3 linked regions of the Notamacropus eugenii genome follow. The protein of the gene in region 1 purifies or fractionates together with the protein of each later gene. This does not show direct contact. Links are inferred from orthologs where the notes say so. Each region holds a gene or a part of one and is shown on either strand. Other genes may lie near its edges.

Region 1 (7,409 bases):
GTTTATGTTCTGGGAAGAGTCCAAACTGCAGGGGATGTAGCAGGTTGGGAAGGGGGAGGGAGGATACTATATAGGGCTGTGGCAGAGATCTGAGGATTTCTTAGAATGTCCGTGCCACTCTACTTTGTTCAGAAGGGAGCTGCTACTCTTATTTATGGCTTTGTGGGCTCTTTCAAATTCTTTGTGCTTTCTGCATTTTTTATTAGGTAAAATTAAAACTGTACTCTATCTGATATACACTTATTGGTTTGTGTGTTTATATGAGAACTGGGCCCCTTGTTACCTGCATTTGTGGAAACTTAGGCATGGCCTATTTATAAATGATATATGGAGAGTTTACCACGGTAAACTGGATGGAGGCAATGAGCCAGAGAAAATAACCTTTAGGGGTCAGCCCTAGGACCTGTGAACCCAGGGCTTTTGGGGGGTGGGCAGACAGGGTCTGGATTGTATCTGAGTTTGAGAAGCAATGTTCTACGCCACTCAACACCCCCAACTTAAAAAAGAGAAAGACAGGACAGGCAGGGCCAAGGACAAATACAGAAGAAAAATTCCCAGTGAACCAGAAATTAAGAATAAGGAGGCATTTTTGACCTTTTGTTCCCACTTTTGTCTTATCCAGTAAGAAAATATATGAATGTTTGAGTTGGCAGCTTTGAAGGTTCGTCAGTGCATGACCCCTTGCCCCATAAGCATCATCTTCCTTTTCTCCATTGCACCGGATAGCACAAACTCAGAAGGTTCAAGATTAAGACAGACCAGAACAAAGTAGCCTGTTACAAAGCAGGTTCAGGTGAAGGCCTCTCCTGGAGGGCGGTCATTGATCTGACTGGGCAAGTAGGTCGGAATGTTGAAGGTAAAAAAAACCTTTGCTCAGATGGTGCCCTCTGCTCATGATCAAAGAGCCATTTGTTTGAAAAAGAGCAGATTGCCTACTTGGTAGAAGTCCTGAGGCAGCCTAAAATTTGACCCAGAGCTGCATGAGGAGGTGTGGTTTCTGGGAATAAGGAAGTGATAGTCTTTTTTGATACAGGTCATGGCTAGGCCACAGCTGGACACACATGTTCCATTCTGGGCATTCATCACTGGGCAGGATAGCTAGGGATGGTGGGGAGGCCTTGGTTCCATGTCTCATGAGGATCTGCTAGAAAAATGAAGAAGAGAGGGCTGGGGGATGTAAGAGCTTTTTTCAGGTGTTTGAAGGGCTGGTCTATGGGGGAGAAATCAGAAATGTTCTAAATGGCCCAGAGGCAGAACTAGGGAGTAGTGAATGAAAAGGCAAGTGGAGGCTTGATGTAAGAAACTTTCTAACAGTTGGAGCCACCCCAAAGAAGAATGGGTGGCTGCTTCCATCCCTGGAAGTCTTCAAGCTGCAGCTAGACAGTCATTCACTTCCTATGAGATGAGGGGATGTCATTTCTTCTAGCATAAAGGTTGAGCTTTCTCCCAACATTATCCCTTTCCTCTATTCTCCGAAGTTCTCCGTGACCTCCCCTGGAGTTGAATGACTCTAGGCTGATTCCAGGTCAACCTAGCTGGCACTGGCTGGCCATTGGCCCTGGGGTTGGGGTGGCAGGTAGTAAAGATTTAATTAGAGATGCCCAGAAACCTGGGATTCTCTGTGGAGACAGGTAAAGGGGAGACCGCAGATCCAGGCCAGGATTCCAAAGAGCAGATACAGCCTGACATGCATTCCAATTATGGGCCTTTTGACTGTATGTAAATGAATCTGGTGGAAAAAAAACATGGAGGCCACATGCTCCATGATGTCTCTCCACTCCTGGTTATAGATTATCTGGACCTGAGAAGTGAGGCAAGGCCTGCAGAACAGTAGTCTGAAAGGCCTTTGATGTTGGTCAGTCATTTTCAGTCATATGTAACTCTGTGACCCCACTTGAAGTTTTCTTGGCAGAGATACTGGAGTGGTTTGCCATTTCCTTCTCTAGCTCATTTTACAGATGAGGAAACTGAGGCAGAGTTTAAATGACCTGCCCAGGGTCAAACAACTAGTAAATGTCTGAGGCTGAATTTGAACTCAAGTCTTCCTAAAAACACCTCTTGCTCTGTCCACTGTGCCACCTAGCTGCCCCCTTTCCCAGTGCGTCTTTCAAAACAACAAATACAAGTAGTCTAGATAAGGATAAATACAGGAAGCTTTCATGTTGTGTTCAAAGGTTCTTAGGAATTCATCCATTATTCTAGCTGTTTCTGTCTACTGTTTACTTTGACTGGCAGGTCAGACTATTACTGGTGGAAATATACCATGTGTGTCATATGTTCCTCTTTCCCTCACAGTCTGTATTTACTGAGAACTTATTTTGTAATCAGGCCTTTGAGGATCAGTATGATTGGGTGTGCAGGCTGAGCAGACCCAGGCCCCTGTATCTGGAGCAGAGGCAGTACACTAATATAAGAATTCAGAATGGCTGATGAAGATCTGAACCTGCAGCCCCCTCTTACCTAGGAAGCCTGCCTGTCAATCTCTGTGCTCACCCTAGCATCAGGGCATTCATTAAAGACTCTTCTCCCTATGTCTACCTCCAGATAAGAATTCCAAAGCGTAGACCAACTCCTTCTGCCTACTATTTGCACTCTGACACCAAAGAGCAGAGATACAGCACAGTGAAGAAAGTCTGAGTGTTGTACTCTGAGAGGAGTGAGTGTGGCTAATGAATCCCTTTTATCATAATGATAAAAGCTAGAATTTAAATAGCCCTTTAAGGTTTGCATATCACTTTACAAATATTATCTCATTTGACCCTCACAACAATCCTGCAGAGTAGGTGTTATTTTTACAATTGAGGAAACTAAAGCAGACACAGGTTAAGTGACTTGTCTAGTCACTGACCTAGCAAATTCATTCCTGGGTCTTATCAATAAATCCTGTAGCTAGATCAGCTTAGTGTGAGGCCTCTTAACAATGATCATGGTCCTAATAAAAATATCAGACATTTGTAGTCCTTTCTTCCTTTCTGCACTGGGCCTCCTTTGCCCTGAGCCATGGCCTTGACATCCAACAGAGGTCAGCATGTCTGCTGTTTGAAATTCTTGGGGCTCTGCAACAAAGACCACTCCTTGACCTTGATCAGAAGGGGCATTTTGGGACTTCATCCCCAACCTGAAAATAGGAGAGTGTCAGCACCTTTTACTACAATGCCAGGAGTCCCCAGGCTGCCACGTGCGGGCACCCAGCCTTGGGAGTGGGGCTGTTTTGCTGCCAGTACGAGTCCAGAAATTAACAAGTCAACATCATTGGATTCCTAGCCCCTTTCATCAATAACTCCTCTTTTTTTTTCTGCCACAGGAAGATAAACGATCTGTGGGTGATTGTAGCTGCACACTTCTACAAAAACTTCATAAATTTCAGAAGGAGAGTATGGGAAATACCCCAGGCTCTGGGCATAGAGTGACTCCAGCGACAGTGGTGGGGGTCTGGGCCAAACTGCCTCCGGCCTGAGTGTTATATTCCCAGGCGGCTGGCTATAGGTCTCCAGTCGGCAGAGGAATCTGATGCCTTAGCTTAGGACCTTTCCCAGTCATGGGATGCCCGCTGGACAGCCTTAGATGGTTTGTGAGGGGGCCCTGTGCATATTCTGATTTTGAGTTACCATTCTCCCAGCTCTCAACATTCGGGATCCCAGAAGTCACCGACCTTTGTCAAGACGGGACCAAGCTTCCACGTAAACTAAAATCTGTTTTAGCATTTTGTTCACATTCTCCCACAGGCCCAACTCATCTCTCCGGGAGCCTCTTCTCTCTCTGGCTTGGAAGGGGCCCCGGGCTGGCCTTTGGTCCAGAGACGTGAAAGGCCAGAAACCACAGCTCGGGCAGCGCCCACCGCGCTCTCTCCTCGAGGGAAGGCCATTTGGAGAGGAGTAAGTGATAGTGTTGACGGATGGAAGGAAAGGGCCACTGAAGCATTTTCTTTAAGGTACAAGAGGGAGTTCAGAAGGAAACAGAGGAGCCAGATAACCTGGAGGGCAAGGTATTAACCGAGGCCGCAGGCTTGGACGAGATGGGGGCGGGGCTCGGGTCCTTGTTCCGATTGGCCCTGGGGATCTGAGGTAGGACCAATCAGAAGGTGTTGCGGCGGGGCGGGACGGGGAGGCAAGTTTAGCGGGCTAGGAGGGAGAATGCCCAGAGTGTAGGGGGAGCACAGAAACCCTTTCCTCGACTCCCCCTGCCCGCTCTTAGCATCGGGGAGAGACGCACGTGACGCTTCCCAAACAGGCCGTCCTGTTTGACACAAAAATATCCAGTACGTGTCTCAGCCGTCAGTGCCTTCACAGAGTCGAGCCCCAGAGCCAGCAGGGAGACATTCAGAGCATCTTGCGCATGCGGGGCGGGAGGGTGAGAGGAAACCAGCGCATGCGTGCTGGTGCGGCGTGGCCCTCCTCGAAGCCATCTTTGAGAAGGGCTCCAGGCCGGCTCCGAGCACTTCTGCGGGACAGTGACGGTCGATACACGAGCATTTATTGAGCCGTCTTTGCTAAGCGATGAAGACATAAAGAAAGGCAAAACCACGGCGTGTCCCAGCCCTCCAGGGACAGCCGATCCCCTCCCAAACCCCCGCCTGAGCTCACGGCCTCCCAGCTTGGTCGCCCCTCCTTCACCGGAAGTGATGTGCCAGCTCCCAGCAGGCTGTTCGGTGGCGGGAACCGGGAGCCTGGGCGCCCAGGAGTGAGAGGAGACGTAAGGGACCAGGACCGGGAGCGGGCAGCGGCCTCCCGACAGCAACCCCGGGCCCGGTCGTTCAGCGCCTGTCCAGGGAGGGCCGGAGGGCAACCGCCGCCGCCCTCGTCCTGTGTGCGTGACTCGGCTCCCCGGGTCTCCAGCTCCACTATCGGGTGGTCCCCGGGGCGCGTGCCCGGAGGCTCCGGACAGATCCCGCCTCCCGGCCTTCCCCGGGCAGGGCCAAGCGGCCATGCAGGCTTTCCTCAAGGGGCCCGCCTCCCTCAGCACCAAGCCGCCGCCCACGAAGGATCGAGGAGCCGCAGCCCCCGCGGGCAGCAGCGCCGAGAGCCGCCGGGCCAAGCCCGTGCCTTGGGTGGAGAAATAGTAAGAGCCCCGCCCCCCCCCCGCCGTCACGGCCCCGCGTGGGCCCGGCCGAGCCGACTCTGGGCCGCTGGTGGCCGGAAGCGGCACTTTACCAGGCCGGCAGAGCCGCACTTTCCCGTAGGCTGGCTCGCCCTGGGGTGCTGGGCCCCTGGCGCCGCCCTCGGCGTGGACATACGGGCCCCGGGGCCCCCCACGAGGCCGTGCCCCGCCGGCCGGGGCTATGTCGGTGTAATCCGGGCCCCTGGGATCGCCTGGCGGGGCACCAGCGCTGTGGCCGCCCCTGCCCAGCTCCTGGGACCGCGCTACTACACTGCTTTTGGACAAGACGTCTCACCTGATTTTTGTAGTAAGGGCGGCCTGGTGGTGCACAGGGCAGAGCACCGGTCTGCATCCAGAAAGGCCTCAGACACTCACCAGCCATGTGACCGTTTGCCTCAGTTTCCTCGACTGTAAAATGAATTTTGCCCTCAAAATCCCACGTGGGTTCCTAAAGAGTCAGGCACAAACTGATCGACAAAGGCTGGAAAAACCTTTTACTTTGATGTTACAATGTGACAGACCAACTAGTTAGAAAGTATAAGGAAATCCTCGTCCCTGCACATCTCTTTGTAACAGTAACAATACATCCCTGTCCTTCCTGGCTCCACTTCCTAAGTCTGCCTCTGCCCCTTCTGTTAGTACGTATCAAGGACTGTAATTGACTTCTTAGCAACTACTAACACATGGAACTTTTCAGTGTCTCTGCTAACAACAAAATGCCAATTTTTTTCTCCCCAGCCGTCCCAAATGTGTGGATGAAGTTGCTTTTCAGGAAGAGGTAGTTGCAGTGTTGAAGAAATCTTTACAAGGAGCAGACGTGAGTTGAACCTTGTTTAACTTATCATTTGGAAATGTTTTCCTAGAGTGGGATTGATACTTCTCATACCAAGTCCTTGGCATCATCAGAACAATTTACACTTCCATGTAGCTGTGTCCAATGATCACCATGAGAACACAGATAACCCAGGCATTTGCGTTGATCACGCAACCGTCCCGTCAAGAACCCCAGAACAGACGCACACACCATTTACACCATTTCTGTCTCTGTTCAGGTTGTCCGACCACCGGCTCCTCCTACTGAATGTCCAAATTCCCAGCCAGTGGGTGGTGGCTCCATGGGATCCAGCTTGACAGTTCCATCGATTATTAATCGCTAGCATTTGTGTAGCACCCACTATGCGTTGGGTATTGTGCCAAGTCCTTTACAAACAGTGTTTCATTTGGTCCTCACCACAGTCTTGGGGTTTAGAGCACACTCTTCATAACCATAGCTTTCTAAGATATTGTCTCACCTGATGACACTCTTTCTCTCCACCCTAGGGCCTGGCCCATGGTATGTATTTATTAACTAGTTGTGGGTTGAGAGAATGACAGGACAGCATTTCCTGGGAGTATCTACCAGCTAACTTCAGGATTTGGGTTGGAGTGTAGTTTGATTCAGCACGACTTTAGTGAATGCCCAATCTATGTACAGAGCCAAACCAGGGCTTCTGCGTAGATACTAAGAAGTCTAGGAATAGTTATTTCACTTGAGAATCTTTCCTTCCAGTTTGGGAGTCAAGACCCACAGAAATGAACGGTGAGACCTAGAGAAGTTGAATGACAGGACACCTAAGGAGTAAGTGGCAGAGCCATAATTAAAACCATGGTCTCGGAGACCATGTCTAGGCAGCAGGTGACATTGCTAAGGGGGAGAGAACATACAGAGACAGGAGACAACAGTTTGTCTGCACTTCAATGTAGCCCTTAAATTTGGATAGGCCTGTCATAGACCTTAGTCTCTTAAATAGACTCTGTTTAAAAAAGTAGACCTCTGGTTCAGCAATAAAATGCAACTGAAAAGTGTAAGTAAGCATTACTTTATGTAGTTCCTACTCAGCACAGCTTGTCAGTGCTATTTCTGAATAGCACAGTGAAAGGCCTAAGGGGGAGACTCAGCCCCTGACAGAAGAAGCCAGTTACTGTCTGTTTTCTACCCTCTACCACCCCACATGCTCACCTTCCACAGGGTAGAGCAGGACAGAGAATACCTGGAGGAGGAGCTGGAACACGTGTATTTTGGACTCACTTAGAAGTGAGGGCATTGGAAGTAGAGGACAAAGGAGGCAGAGTGATGCCCTTCTTCAGGCCATCACCCGCCACCCCCAAGCATTGAATTGCTTCTCTGTGGGTGGGTGAGTGGAGAAGCTTTAAGTTATTGTGAGAAGTATATCTCACAAAATTACAACCTCAGAATTAGAAGGGACAAAAGCATCCATTTAGTTCAGTTTGTACCTGCTGAGAGGAAGCATGGTGTGATGAAGAGACAGCCG
Region 2 (6,924 bases), on another chromosome or scaffold:
CTTTGAAGGAAACAATGCAGAACCAAGGTGAAATATAAAATGTCTATAAACAGTGGTTCTGCAAAGTTCACACTTAGTTTTAATGAGTCTAAGTCTCTTAGTCAAGAACAGTAGTTATCACTGACTGGTTTAGTTTATTTTATGTAATTTTTATTTTAGTTTATCTTTTGTCAGCTAGCAAACATTAATTTTCTCTTCTGCCCATTTTCCTCCTTGCTGATGAAAAAGAAAAACAAAACTCTTGTAATACATATGCATAGTAAAGCAAAAACACATTGGTCATATCCAAAATGTATGTCTCATTCTGTACCATGAATCTATCACCCCTCTGTCAGGAGTTGGGTACATGCTTCATCATCAAACCTATGAAACTGTGGTTGATCATTGGATTGATCAGAGTTCTTAAGTCTTTACTTCAGTTCAAGCATGATTTGCTCACACCTCTTATTTTAACTCCGTGTGAACCTGTTTCAAATATGTTTCTCTTGTAAACAACATATTGTTGGATTCTGCTTTCTAATCCATTTTGCTATTCTCTTCTGTTTTATGAGTGATTTCATCCCATTTCCATTGACAGTTGGGATCATTAATTGCATATTTCCTTTCATCCTATCCTTTTATATCTTTCCATGTTTCCCCCACACACATACACACCACACCCCTAATAAGGAGGTAGTGAGAGAGGAGGAATGTGCTCAGCACCAGTGGCCTAGGTTTGGTATAGTCTGCTTCTGCTCTCCTGCCCCTCTTCTCTTTCCTTCACACAGAGCCCTCTCACAGGTTCTCTTTCTTTTTTTTTCTTTTCAACTTCATAATCTGTTCTACCTATCTTAGTGTTTGGTTTGGTTAGGGTTAATCCCTCCCTTAAATACTCTTTATTATCCTTTCTCTCTTTTCCCTTTCCTTCCTGTTACCCTGTTGAGTGAAATGTATTTCTGTGCCCAATCGTGTTTGCATGTTCTTCCCTCTTTTAACCAGTTCAGATAAGAGTATGGGTCAAGTGTTACCTACTTCCTCCAACCTCTTCCTCCTTATTTGTATAGTTTTCTATTCCAGCATCCTGAATACATAATTTTCCTTCTCCTTTCTCTCTCTTTCTCCCCATTCCTCTCCCTCCCCAGTATATTCCTTTTCCCTGTCCTTTCTTCTTCTAAGACTATCAAAACATGACAAAACCTCTTCCAGGCCATCTGGCTTCTTAGACTCCATGGCTCTTGATGAGTTCTGATGGGACACATATATCATCCCCTTATATTAAAATGTAAACAGTTCATCTTTGTTTAGTCCATTATGATTGTTTACTCATATTTCTCTTGACTTCTGTATTTGTATTTTTCCTATACAACTTGATTTTTTTTCCCTCAAGAATGCTTAGAACTCCCCTATTTCATTAAAGATCTATTTTTATCCCTCTAGCATTATGTTTCAGTGGGTAAATTATTCTGTTTGTAAGCCTATATCTTTCCCTTTTTGGAACATCAAATTCCAAGCTCTCCACTCTCCTATAGTGGTAGCTATTAAATTATCTACAACCCTGACTATAGATCCTCAATACCTGAATTCTTTCTTTCTTGTTGCTTGCAGTATTTTTTTATTTTAACCTGAAAATTCTAGACTTTGGATATGGTGTTCCTGGGAATTTTCATTTTTGGTGTTTCCTTTACATAAGGGGACCAGAGGGTTCCATTTTCACTTTGTTCTCTTGATCTAAGAAATCTGGGCAGTTGTCTTTTATGATTTCTTGAAATTTGATCTCTAGACTCTTTTTTGGGTCATGGCTTTCAGGTTTCAATGATTCTCAAATTATCTCATCAATCTGTTTTCCAGGTAAGTTGTTCTGGCTATGAAATGTCTTACATTTTCTCATATTTTTTTAATCTTTTGACTTTGTTTTGATATTTCTTGTTGGTTCAGGGAGTTGTTAACTTCTACTTGGTTCATTCTAATTTTGGGGGAGTTTGTTGCTTGAGTAAGCTTGCGTGTAGCTGTTCATTCCCCTTCTAATTCTTTCTTGTTCTTTTTTTCCATCCCCCCACATTCTCATTTTATTCATGAAAACATCTTTAAAAATATTTTAAAAACATGTTTTAAAAAAAACTATTTGCTTCATATTCCCCATGAATTATAGTTGAACTTGTGCCTAAGCTATGTTTTTCTTTTGTTTTCTCGTAGATGTTCTGGAGTCATTATCTTCTTTTGGGTTTGTGTCCTAAGCATCCTGGTCACCATGACATCTTTTTATGGGAAGATTCTTTTTTTTGTTTGTTTCATCAGCCTTTCAGCCTACTTCTTTACTTCAGACTTTGTTAGGGCAAAGCTCTCATAATTCTGGAAAGAATGTCTGGGTTTAGTCTCTTGGGTCCTGCTACTGCTTTCTTGGAGTGTTGACTATTGAGTAATTGTAGGATCTCAGGGAGCTGCTCAGGCTGGGGACCTGAACACTTTGAGTGGTGCCAAAATCAGGGCAAAGTCTGATCACTGTCGCCTAGTCTGAGCTTGGCAAGTTCCTGGCCTGTGTTTAGATTTGTTCTCGTGTATTTCCTAGATTTTTGTGGAGGAACTATGTTAGGCAGCTCATTGTACGTCCTGATGTGGTTCCTTTTTCTTTCTGTTTTCATCATGGGAAATGAAGGCAGGGTTAGTGCTATTATAACCAAAATAAGATCTTTTTTTAAAATGAGGAGATGAAAATATAAAGAAGTGTACTTCAGATGGAAGTACAAGCAGGGTAGTTTTGAAAATAACTTGTGGAATTGATCATATATCTAAAGAAAAGCAAGCTTAGGAAATGGAGAGTTGCAGTTCCATGGAGAATCCTTTTCTTTTTTATTGGTCTACTGCTGCATATATGGAAATGCCCTTTTTTCTTATTTACATTCAGAATTAAATTTTTTAAAAAATAATAATTTGACTACTATCGGCCACCTAGTTTCATTGGAGGGTTTTCAGTGGGCACGAGATGACTTTCCCAAATGCCTCAGAGATCAAGCTCTTCCATCAGGCTCCCAATTCTTTCAGTCCGAGCTCACACAGCTCTTGATGGGGGGGCCCTGCGCCCAACTCAATACTGATCTCAGGGTGTCGAAAAAGAGAATGAAATCTCTCTCTGAAATATTAACACGATAGAAATCTGCTTTTCCTTCCTTCCGACCGATCGCTTCTCGTAGATGGCCCGCAGACAATCCACTAGGAGGGCACGTAACAAAGACAATGAACAAAACTTCTGCCTCTCTCGGACCTTCCTAACCACCTGAGGGCATGGGAGGAGGGCTGGGTATCGGGCTGCGGGCCACCGACTCCTCTCCGGGATTTCGAGACCTTAAGGCCTTATGCCTTTGCAAGTCCAGCGGGGGAATGCCGGGAGGGGCTTGGGGAGCCTCCCCGCAGCGGCCTGCGCTGTCCCTGCACATCTGTGCTAATTAAAGAGAGCACCCCAAACAGCTTGGGAAGGGCTTTAAATGCCGCGCAGAGGGCTCTGCCATTGACCCGGGGGGATGGGGAGACGCAGGAGCTCCTGAGGAGAGCTGCCCTGCAGGGCTCCGGGCGGCGGCTTCCGTCCTGCCGGGCTGGGGGGCGCGGCGGGTAGAGGGTTGACCCGTCTGGGTCTCCGGGCGGACGCCCCGCAGAGAGCCCGTGGCCAGCCGGCGGGCTTCCTTCCGGAGGGTCCCGGGCAAGGTCCCTTCACTCCTCGGGGCTCAGTTTCCTCCTCCGTAAACGAGGGGATCTGACCGGATGGCTCCGGACTCCCTTCGCTCTCTCAGCCCTTCAGCGGGTGCCCGACCTTCGGACCCCAGAGCGAGGCGGAGTGACTGCGAGGGTCGCCTCCGTTCACGGCGCCGGTTTCTGGCCCTCGCGGGCCGCCATCCACTCCCCGTCCCGGACGTTGCGTAATTGCCCCGCCCCCGCTTCCGGCGCTCCCGGACGGCGCGAAAACCCAATTGACAAGAATCTCTGTCCGCGGAGCTCGGGCCTCCCCAGCCGCCTGCACCCTCCCCCCGCCCTCCCACAGTTCGGACCCCAGTGCAGCCCAGGCGCCCAGACCCTCGAGGGTCGCCCGCTGGCGGGGGGAGGGGGAGACGCCTGCGCACGGCTTCTGGCTTGGGGGTCCCGCGTCCGCGCGCTTTCTGCTGGGGTCTCTTCCCGCGTCCCGCGCTCCCCAGAGCCGGGTCCCGAACGTCATGGTACCCGCGCGCGCCGGCTCCGGATCCGGCGCCGTCCGCTCCTGAGGGCCTGGCAGCCCGGGAGCCGAGCCGGGGACCATGGTCGGGGTGCTGGCCATGGCTGCGGCGGCTCCGGCCCGAGCGCCCGGAAAGGACTTGGACATCCAGGTGAGCCTTGCCCCCTGCCCCAGGCGGGGAGCTCCCCCCCTCCCGGGGCAGCTAGCCCCGGAGCTCTTGGACTGCCCTGGGGGTGGGGCGGGCGCGGAGTACAGTCGAGTCTGGGGGAGGGGGCTGTACCCTTCCTTCCCCCATTGCACTTACAGCAGGTACTTAACAGATGCTCTCTGGGGTCTCAAAGGCCCGTCTGAGGAGGGAACCCCGAGGCCCCGGGTCCGGAGCCGATCTCGATGGTGATGTCCACCACGCGTGGCTCGTGCTTTCTGTGCCTCAGTTTCCTCGCCCATACAATGAGAGCTCCCTTCCACCCCGCAGCTGGGACCCTTCACTCGGTCTGGAGTCTGGATCCCCACCCATCCCCGGTAGCCCCCAGCCCGTCTCTCTGGGGGGCCTTTAATCACGTGGTCTGCCTCCCCCCACCCCACGTTCACCCCTAGACCCTTCCCTCTTAGCCGAGAAGAGGGGCTTCGGCCCCCCAGGGAAGGCTGCGCAGGGCGGTGATCGGGAAAATGACCGAAGCTGCCTTTGCCAGTTTCCCCTTCTTCCACAAATGACAGCTTTGCCAGGAGAACGTCGGCCCGGCGACCAGGGGGTCACCCAGCCAGGTCGTGACGGAAAGCAGTGGCCGAATTTTGTTCTTAGTGAAACATCTCTAGGGAGTTTTGAATTCTGACGGCAACTGAGAGAGAAGCATTTCTTTCCTTCTGTGACTGGAGCAGTCTTTCCGTTTGATCTGTCACACCTGTACGTTTAGTTACATGTAAAATACTTGGCAAGTAATGGTTTTCCTTCTGGTCAACATATGTGAGTTTCCAGACATCAACTTTACTTAGAGATAATTAGAATCAAGCTCAGTGGTTCTCCCCAACTCCCCGTCTTTTGGACTCCCAGCTAGTATTTACACCTTGGAAGAGATGAGACTGGTGAAAAGCAATTTTGGTTTAGAGTTTTGCTTCTTATTAAAAACTCTTTAGGTAAATACTTGAAACAGAACTGTAAAGATTCTCCATGAAACATAAAACAGAAAGTGAGGCACCAATACTGTGGTGTCTGATTTCTGTTAAATATAAGCAGATTACTAATGTATACTAGGCACAAAAAGGATACACGTTACTTCAGAAACCTCCTTTAACACTACTGTGTTGGAAGAAGGTTGGCTACTAGTTCAAAAGACAACAACTTTCAAGACAAATTGGGGCAAATGACTTCCCCTAAAACAGTCCATAAGTCATATAAGTTGCTGTGTTCTAGGTATTTCTAATGTTTTCTTATTTTTCAGATGTAGTTTCCTTATTTGATATACATAAATTAGTAATTTCTATTCTAAAAATATTTTTACTCATTCATTTGTTTATTTAGATAAAAATATTAATTTCTTCTTACTGTTATTATAAGTAGAACTTATATTCTTTTTTTTACATTTTATTTTCCCCTAGTTACATGGTTTTTTTTCTTTTTTAAATTTAAAGCCATGCAAGAAGCAAAGGAAAGAAGATGATGGAGCTTCCTGTAAAACCATTACTGAATATATGTCACCTATAAGGAAAACTGGAGACAAAGTTTTCTCCCCACCAAAATCTAATAACATCTTGGATTATTTTAAAAGGACTTCACCCATAAATGAAAAGTCTTCTATAGCTAAGAAATGCAAGATACAGTCATCTAAACCATTGCATTTTGATGATAGCAAAGAAGGGAAAACACTTTTGAACAATTCCTCCAATTTAGAGCCTAAGTCAAGGGGAAAGAGAATTAATTTATCTCAACAACTTAATGATATTAAAAAATTGGAAAATGAACCCATAATTATTAGTAGTGATGACAGCAGAGAAGAAACAAGCTTAAATAATGTTTTTGTGGGTAGTGACAGTGATACTTCTGGTTTACTTACTCGGAAAAATGTAGAGCCCTTCTCAGAAAGTAGTCAGAGTAACAATAAGCAATCAAGCACAACGTCCTCCCAAAAAGACAGAAAGAAAGTAAACGCTGAACAAAGCATCACAAAAAATGACTGCAAAAAATTAAGGAAAAGGAAGCACAAAGATGATAAAGACCTAACTAGAAATTTATCATTAGAAAAAGAATCCAGCCAACAATCCAAAAAGGAACCCAAGGACAATAAGCAAAAAACAGAACTCAAAACTGGTGAAATTGTGGATTTTGCAAGTGATTCCAGCCCTGGAGTTCATGTGTCTGACACAGCCCAGGTAAATGATAATACGGTAACTGTATCCTATGAAGAATTTTTAAGAAGTCAGGAAGTAAACCCATTGGAGCACATACAAGGACCAAAAATGTCCGATACTCCTGATGATGTTGGTAAAAGTGGGAACACTAGTGAGCCTGAAGGCAGTGAAAGTTCCCAGCAGCTGCCCCTTAAAAAAGTGACTGTTCTTGCACAAATTCATGCTGTGCCACCCAAGCCTATTTCAAGGATTAAAGGGAAAAGGACTCTCAAAATACCATCAATTTTCTTGAAACAAAAGGAAAATGAAATTGGGAATAAACTTCCTGAGCCTGAAAATGAACAGACAGTTCAGAAAAGAAAATCCAATGTAGTTATAGCAGAGGAAGAATTAGAATTGGC
Region 3 (7,484 bases), about 250 Mb from region 1:
AAGAGAGGAGATAAATTCATATGCAACTGAAAATCTTATTTAATAGACCAATTTGCTATTATCTCCCTTTTAAAAAGGTACAAACAATAAGAAAACAAATAAACGAGCATCAAAAGAAAAGAGCTTCAATAAGAAAACTAAACCCAAATTTATGTCAGTATGCTAATCTTTTCTATCAGACTGCTAACATCATTGGGCTCTACAACATCCCTCAAAATTATCTTCCATGATATATTCTACAATGCAATATAAAGCATATCATTTGGGAAAGTATACTTCAAAAGATAGTGATGATTATATGACTGTAATGAACTATTGGTATACTGTAAGAAATAGTGAATATGATCAATACAGAGAAGCACGGGAAGACTTGCAGAAACTAATGCAAAGAGAAGTAAATAGAATCAGAAAAGCAATAAACAATGCTTACAATACATAATAAAACACAATAAAAATAACAAACTTTAGAATATGATCTCCCTTGCTCACTGACAAAAAAGATTCCATATACATCAAAATTTATAGCAACACTTTGTCTTAGTAAAGAACTGGAAACAAAACAGATGCCAATGAACTGAGGAATACCTAACAAATTGTGATACATAAATGTAACAGAATCTAGAAGATGCAAAAGCAAAAGATAAAAAAAACCACTTTTTTAAAAAAATGTGACCACCTCAAGGGCAGGAAGTGATTTTGCCTTTCTTTCTATTTTCATACTTAACACAGCAGCTAGCTAGCACACGGGGCTCCTTGACTAACTGAAATCTGTGAAAAGGATAATAGCGACCTCCAAACATAGTTATGAGAAGACTCCTGCCTTCCCACTCTGTGCCAGAGGCTTGGGATTATGGAGAATGGAACACTGAAGATGATGCCATACTTTTTTTTCCATATGTCTGCTAACTTTGCTGTACTGTGTTTCGCTCTTTGAAAGGAGAAGGGGAGAAAGATACAGCAGACAACAAAAGTGATGTATCTCCTTCTGAGGACCTGATTTTCTTCACTCTTAAAGAAACATTATCACTTTCAGGACTTTAAGATAATGTCACTAAAGACAAATGAAAAGATATTCGGCAGAAACAAGGGAATTCAAGAGATAAACAGGCAAAATTATTGACCTAATAAATACTGCTTATTGAAATGAGACAACATATATAAAAGGGTCTATAAACCTTAGAGCACTGTATAAATAGGAGCACTGAGTAAAAAAAAGAAATATAGGGGATACAAAAAAAGTAGCAATAAAATTTACTTTTAAAAAAAAGTGGTGCTGATCATTTAATAGTTAAGTTTACTCTTTTTTCAAAAAGAAATCCAAGCATTGGAATGGACAAAGCTTCTCATTCTAGTAAAGTGTTTATATATAAATTATTCTTTTACCTCAGAAAAATTGGCATGTTGAAAAATGAGCTGTGGAATACCTGGCAGCATCAGATAGTTTTTTTTTAACTTCAGGGAGTTTTATAAGTTCACTTTCTAAATTAAAATGTTTTAACAGCTACTACTGTCTGAGTGGAGTCATGCGACAACCCTCTTTTGCCAAGCGTGTGACTGTTTCATAGATGGTATAGTATATACAACATAGTTTCATAGTATATAGTGTATAGATAGTATATTCATAGATGGTATAATATACTATCTATACTATATACTATCTATACACTATATACACTACATAGTATACACAGATTTATGAGTTAATTTTTTTAAGCATGATGTCAAGTTTCAAAGAGGGTATAGTGGAAGGAAAACCGGACTCAGAGCCGGAAGACCTGAGTTCCAATGCCAGTTCTGCTACTTACTAGGTCTCCACTGGGGCAAACACCTAACCAGTTTCTCTATTCCTCAGTTTCCCTTTTTTCTAAAAGCGGTCAAAATCATCTCTTTCGCTGCTACCAGCTCTCAACCACGAACCTGGATAATGAGATGGGATCGCGGCCGTCCACTTTGTTTCTGGTAACCACAACACAACCTACTGAGTTTCTACCCACTTTTCCAAGAACACATCATGTCAACACTGATTTTTCCTACGATGGCCCGAGCAGCCCAGCCACAAAAGCCCAACACCAAGCGGCACGAGGGAGCTCCCAGGGCTGCCTGCTGTCTCCTGGCTCCTCCCTGTGTCCTCAGCACTGAGTAGGGAGGGCAGGAAGGAACGCTAGCTGCTGTTGGGTTTGTCAGTGGTGTTACCGTGTTACCGATGACGGCCGTACTACGAACGAAACAACAAGCGTCAGGAGTCAGCATTTCCGCGGCCCTGTTGAGGGTTCTGCCAAGCCCTCCGCACACGTTATTTCAATAGATGCTCGGAACAAACCTGGGAGGGGGTGCTACTAACGTTGGGAACGTCCTCGTTCTGCAGGGGAGGAAGCCGAGCCGGAGAGCAGTGCCTGCCCCGTTATCCCCGGGCAACAAGCTGCCTACGCGGAGGCTTAGGGGACCCCCCCCCAAGAAGCTGGGATCCAAAGGACAAAATCCATCCTTCCTCCCCGCCCCGTAAGAAAAAAAAACCTCCTCCCCCTCCCCACCCTGGGGGGGGGCGCAAAACTCCCGCCTAACAGCAACAGCCCTGTGCCCCAAAGAGGGGGCGCCTCCAAATTCCATTCCGCTCCCCGCCTCCCCCTCCGGCCCAAGGGTGGGGGCCCTGGAGAAGGGCCCCGGCCAGGGGTGGAGGGAAGGTCGGGGGTCCTGCCCTCCTCACGAATCACCCCCCTGCCCTGGGGCTCCCCCGACTCCGTCCCCGCTGCCCCACACACCAATGCCCCCAGTCCGCCCGCCGGCCGGGGGAGGGGAAGGAAGGCGCGGTGGCAGAAGCTCCACTGCTCACCATAACTGTCCGGAGAGCGGGCGGCGGGGGACACTGGGGCAGAGCGGCCAACGGCGGCGGAAGACCCTTAACAAGGTTCGGGCTACATTCGCGCCAACAAGTTCTCCCGCGAAATAGGGGCTGGGACGGCGGCGCCGCGTGATGACGTAGGAGCGCGCTGCGTACGCTCGCGGTGAGCTCGCGAGACTGGCCTCTAACTCTTGGCTAGCCCGGGACTCCGCGCAAGCGCACTGGGGCGGAGGGGGGCTAGGCAGCAGTCTTGGGCCCTGCCCTCAGGGATCTTACGTTCAAATATATGAATCGAGTAATTATGAACGTACAAACTACGTATAGTGTACCAGGAGAGTCTCTGGCAACAAACATTTATGAAGGGTTTCCTGTGTGCCAGGTAGCGTGCTGAGCTCCGGGGCCACCAAGGAAAGGGAGCTCGGAGTCCAGGCGGAGACCACGTGCAAGCCCCAGGACCACAAACCAGAGGCGGAGGGAATAAAGTGGAGATCCCCGGGGCAGGAAGCAGCCGGAAGGCCGGGGGAGTCTGCCTGCGGAAGGCCGCAGTCCTGGGCTGTCCTCCCCTCCCAGCACGCTGTCGGGTGGGTGAGGCCTGGACTGCGGCCTCGTTGGACTTAAGGGAGGCAGAGTGCTCAGCCTTCCCCCCCTTCCAGTGCGCTCATCCGCCCAGTGCCCGAGGCTGGGGCTAGACGCCCCCTAATTCCCCAGCGTGGTGCCCCTCCCCCTGGCTTAGCCTCTCTGCCCAGACTCCTCTATCAGGGTGTGGCCTCCGCAGGTGGGAGCTGAGTACCAGGTAGATGGCGGAGGTGTCTGAAAAGGGCTTGGCAAGCCCCCAGCGGATGCACCCCGAGAACTTCAGCTATAACTTGAAGGAAGCCAGGAAAACCAAAAGGGGGAGAAGAGGGGAAAGACGTTCCAAGAAAAGGGTGAAGATGCCCAGACGCTAACTGGCACTAGCATTGTTAATGATGCTTAGAATCGGTATAATTATTTTGGAAAGCAATTTGGAATTAAGCAAAAAAAAAAAAATTGCTATCCTACTCCTGGACCCAGAGTTTCCATTACTAGGCATGTACCCTAAGATAGAAGGGGTATGTTAGCAGTGCCTAATAGATAGAGCACTGGACCTGCAGTCTGAATGTTGTTGTCATTCAGTCATGTCCAGCTCTTTCTGACCTTATTTGGGGTTTTCTTGGCAAGGATACTGGACTGGTTTTCCAGTTCCTTCTCCAGCTCATTTTACAGAGGAGGAAGCGGAGACAAACAGGATTAAGTGTATTGTCCACAGTCCCACAGCTAGTGTCGGAGGCAAAATTTGAACTCATGGAGATGAGTCTTTTATGCTATGTTAAGACATAGATCCTGGGTTAAATACTGCAACCAGTTTGTATGCATGTAATTCAAGATTTTATTGAAGAGACTTTATGTTCCAGAACTCAGTGCAATTAGTATGCGTTTATCTGTGAAAATAAAAATATTGGTGCAGAACCTTGCCTTTAATAGGAAATATAAACAATAAATAGTAATAAAATCCCTTATTTCCATAAAATATGCAGAGAAAGGGAAAGCATTGCCCTTTTGAAATAACTGTCAAATGATTAGAACACAACAGATAAATATTGAACTCTGATTTCCCTTTACAAGTGGTTCAATTAGTGTTTTAGTGTCAAATTAACTGAAATGAGCAGTGTAAGTTCTTTGTGTGTAAATGCCTCTGCCTCAGTGAAAGTATCAGTATAATAAAGATAAAACTTATCTACAACCACTTGAAGTCCTCTTTCCTTTCAGAATAGGTCACATTTACAGAATTTAAAAATTCAAAAAACAGAAACAACTGAGAATTTGTATTCATTTTGGAATTTTCATTCTGCAACAATAATTGTAACTTCCTGTCCTCTGGATGAATATTAGCATGTTATCTGTTTATTAGAGCATTTTCCTTATAGAAAAAGTTGATTAGCCAGCTTGTCATTTTCTGTGTTTGTGGTGACTGCAGATCCAAACCAATAAACAGCAACTGTATAATCTATTTATGCATAAAAAGAATCATTAGGTCACAATCTATCACTATTAGAGTTCATGCATTGTAATTTAGGAAATTAAGTACTAAGTATATCATTTATCTTAATTCAAATTGATGTCCAAATAATCTTCTTAATGTGATTATGTGTGAGTAATCTGGATATGTATGAACTTGCCTGATAGTTGACTTCTTATATCATAAGAATGTGTATTCCATCTTCTTACAAATGAAAAACAGAAAGTTTTCCCAGATATAACTGTGGGTTTTACTTGGAAGGTAACTAATAACATGAAAAACATGTGGAACACTAAGATTTAACCAAAAGTACATAATCTTGAATGATGGTATATTCCATTGGTTATGTTTTTAAGGTTTGTGGGGTTTTTTTGTTCCAAACCCATGATTTCATCAGTGTATTGACATCCCCATGCAGAAACTTCCTCCACCAAATGAAGATGTGTAACTCATCCCTAATTTACAGTTTTGGAGGATCAGTTTGGGGTAGAAAGATTTAGTGCCTTGCAATGGTAAAGAAACAAAGGGCTATCAAAGCCAGCTCTGCATGACTCCAAAGGTAGACCCCTCTGTATCACACAATGCTGCCTCTCTACTGTCTTGATACATATGTATAATGTTTCTCAAACTAGAGGTCAGGTCAAGTTTCAGGAGATATGTGGAGAATGGATTCTTAATAATTCCAGTGAACATTTGAACATGAACAAGGTAACCTAACTTTCTACTACATAGGCAGAAGATTTTCTCCATGTTTTTTAAATCTACTGCAAAGGACTGCACTATAGAGACTATATTAGGACCTGGAGAGTCACCAATACCATTGAGAGTCACAAAATGAAAAGACTTGAATAACCCTGTTGAAGTTTATACAACATTGTAAAAGAAAAACAATTTTGAAAGACTTAAGAATTGGGTTCAATACAGTGACTAAACATGATTCCAGAGGATTGATGAGGAAGCATGCTAGATCTTGTAACAAAAAGGTGATGAACTCAAGAATGAAACATGTTGTCTATATTTTTACTGTATACATACACATTTTCAGATAAAATCAATGTTTAGCTTAATTATATGTGTTTTTGTTACGGTTTTTTTAATGGAAGAGGAGAGATTTTCAAGGGAAAGAGGAGTAGCAGTAGGGTTGACCCCCAAAAATAGGAAAGAAAAGAGAGTCATTGACACTTTTTTAAAAATACGCAGAAGAGAACAAAAGGAAACACAGACTAGCAGGAAAGCTTTGGAAGTTATATTTTCTTTTTTGATAAGCTTACTCTATTATTAGCTGAAACGAAAACTATAGATATAGTTTAGCTAAATTTTAACAAAGCTTTTGATAAAGTATCATGTGCTATTCTTGTGAAGAAGATAGAGGGATATGGACTAGATGATAATACAATCAGATGATTTCAAAACTGGTTGAATGACCAGACTCAAAGAATAACTTAATTGTTCAAATGGCAGTGTGGCAAGGGATCTACAGTGAAGTACCCTTGGCATCTCTTGACCTTATACTTTTCAAGATTTTTATCAATGACTTTTGAAAAGGTATAAATTGCATTTTCATCAAATTTTCAGATAAATATGGGAGAGATAGGTACTACAGTATATGACAGAGTCAGCTTCCCAAAGGATCTGGAAAGGCTAGAACTTTGGATTGAATCTAAGAAGATGAAATCCAATAGGAATGAATGTAAAATTTTGGACTTGGGCATAAAAAATCCACTTCATAAAGTATATGAATGGAGAGAAATTGTGCTTTAAAAAAGATCTAGGAATTTTAGTGTACTACAAGGTCAATATGACTCAACAGTGGTGTGACTTTCAGGAATAGGGATATGATAGTACCGCCGCATTCTGCTCTTCTCAGAACTCATCTGGTTGAGTTCTAGACACCACAATGTAAGAGCAAAGATAATCTGGATAATTTCCAGAGAAGGGTAACCAGTATGTTGTAGCATCTTGAATGCATTCTATACAAGGCTCAGTGGAAGAAACTGAGTATGTTTAGGTAAGAGAAGAGAAGATTCCAAGGGAATATGACTGTTACCTTGAAGTATTTGAAAGGCTGTCATGTGGAAGAGTGACTAAAGCCCAGAGGGTAGAGAGGAAAGCCAGGAACAATGAGTCAAAGTAGTACAAAGGTGAATTTAGTCTCAATATTTGGGAAAACTTCCCAACAATTAAAGTGAGTTGGACTTCCTAGAGAAGTTACCCTTCTTTGAAAGTCTTCAAACAAAGGCTGAAGGACTATTTGTTGAATATGTTATAGTTGGGATTTTTTTATGTGTATGGATTGGGCTATAGAGCTGTTGAGGGGCCTTCCCTTTCTGTGATTTTGACATTCTGAATAGAAGAAAAAAGCAAGTTGTATATACATTATACAGATTCTCATGGTATCATTTATAGTCCTCCTTTCCTCTTCTACTTTGTATATGGAAATGTTTATTTGATTTGGTGTTTGTTAAATTCTGAATTTTAAAAATCAATTAAAAATAAAATCACTGCTAAAAAAGGGAATAATTGTTTAAAAAAGAATAACTGCACTATTATTTGAAAATGTTACTATAATGAATCCTACCTAGAACTTTTCTCTCCACTTCAATCATA

What was found. The genes of interacting proteins can lie anywhere in the genome.
Region 2: the proteins of RFC4 (region 1) and ATAD5 purify together in Homo sapiens (affinity purification with mass spectrometry; 5 studies listed by BioGRID and IntAct, counting the BioPlex papers as one, with this or other methods). This does not show direct contact. The link is inferred for Notamacropus eugenii from reciprocal best matches to the Homo sapiens genes RFC4 and ATAD5.
Region 3: the proteins of RFC4 (region 1) and RFC1 fractionate together in Homo sapiens (co-fractionation; 7 studies listed by BioGRID and IntAct, counting the BioPlex papers as one, with this or other methods). This does not show direct contact. The link is inferred for Notamacropus eugenii from reciprocal best matches to the Homo sapiens genes RFC4 and RFC1.

Annotation. Positions count from the first base shown.
Region 1 is NC_092877.1:340,821,029-340,828,437, reverse strand, and holds the start of RFC4 (replication factor C subunit 4), read left to right. Parts: upstream 1-4,403; 5' UTR 4,404-4,924; coding exon 4,925-5,058; intron 5,059-5,835; coding exon 5,836-5,914; intron 5,915-7,409. UniProt on the Homo sapiens protein: Subunit of the replication factor C (RFC) complex which acts during elongation of primed DNA templates by DNA polymerases delta and epsilon, and is necessary for ATP-dependent loading of proliferating cell nuclear antigen (PCNA) onto primed DNA.
Region 2 is NC_092873.1:311,746,721-311,753,644, reverse strand, and holds the start of ATAD5 (ATPase family AAA domain-containing protein 5), read left to right. Parts: upstream 1-3,904; 5' UTR 3,905-4,259; coding exon 4,260-4,328; intron 4,329-5,806; coding exon 5,807-6,924. UniProt on the Homo sapiens protein: Has an important role in DNA replication and in maintaining genome integrity during replication stress.
Region 3 is NC_092877.1:93,500,988-93,508,471, forward strand, and holds the start of RFC1 (replication factor C subunit 1), read right to left. Parts: upstream 3,021-7,484; 5' UTR 2,834-3,020; coding exon 2,831-2,833; intron 1-2,830. UniProt on the Homo sapiens protein: Subunit of the replication factor C (RFC) complex which acts during elongation of primed DNA templates by DNA polymerases delta and epsilon, and is necessary for ATP-dependent loading of proliferating cell nuclear antigen (PCNA) onto primed DNA.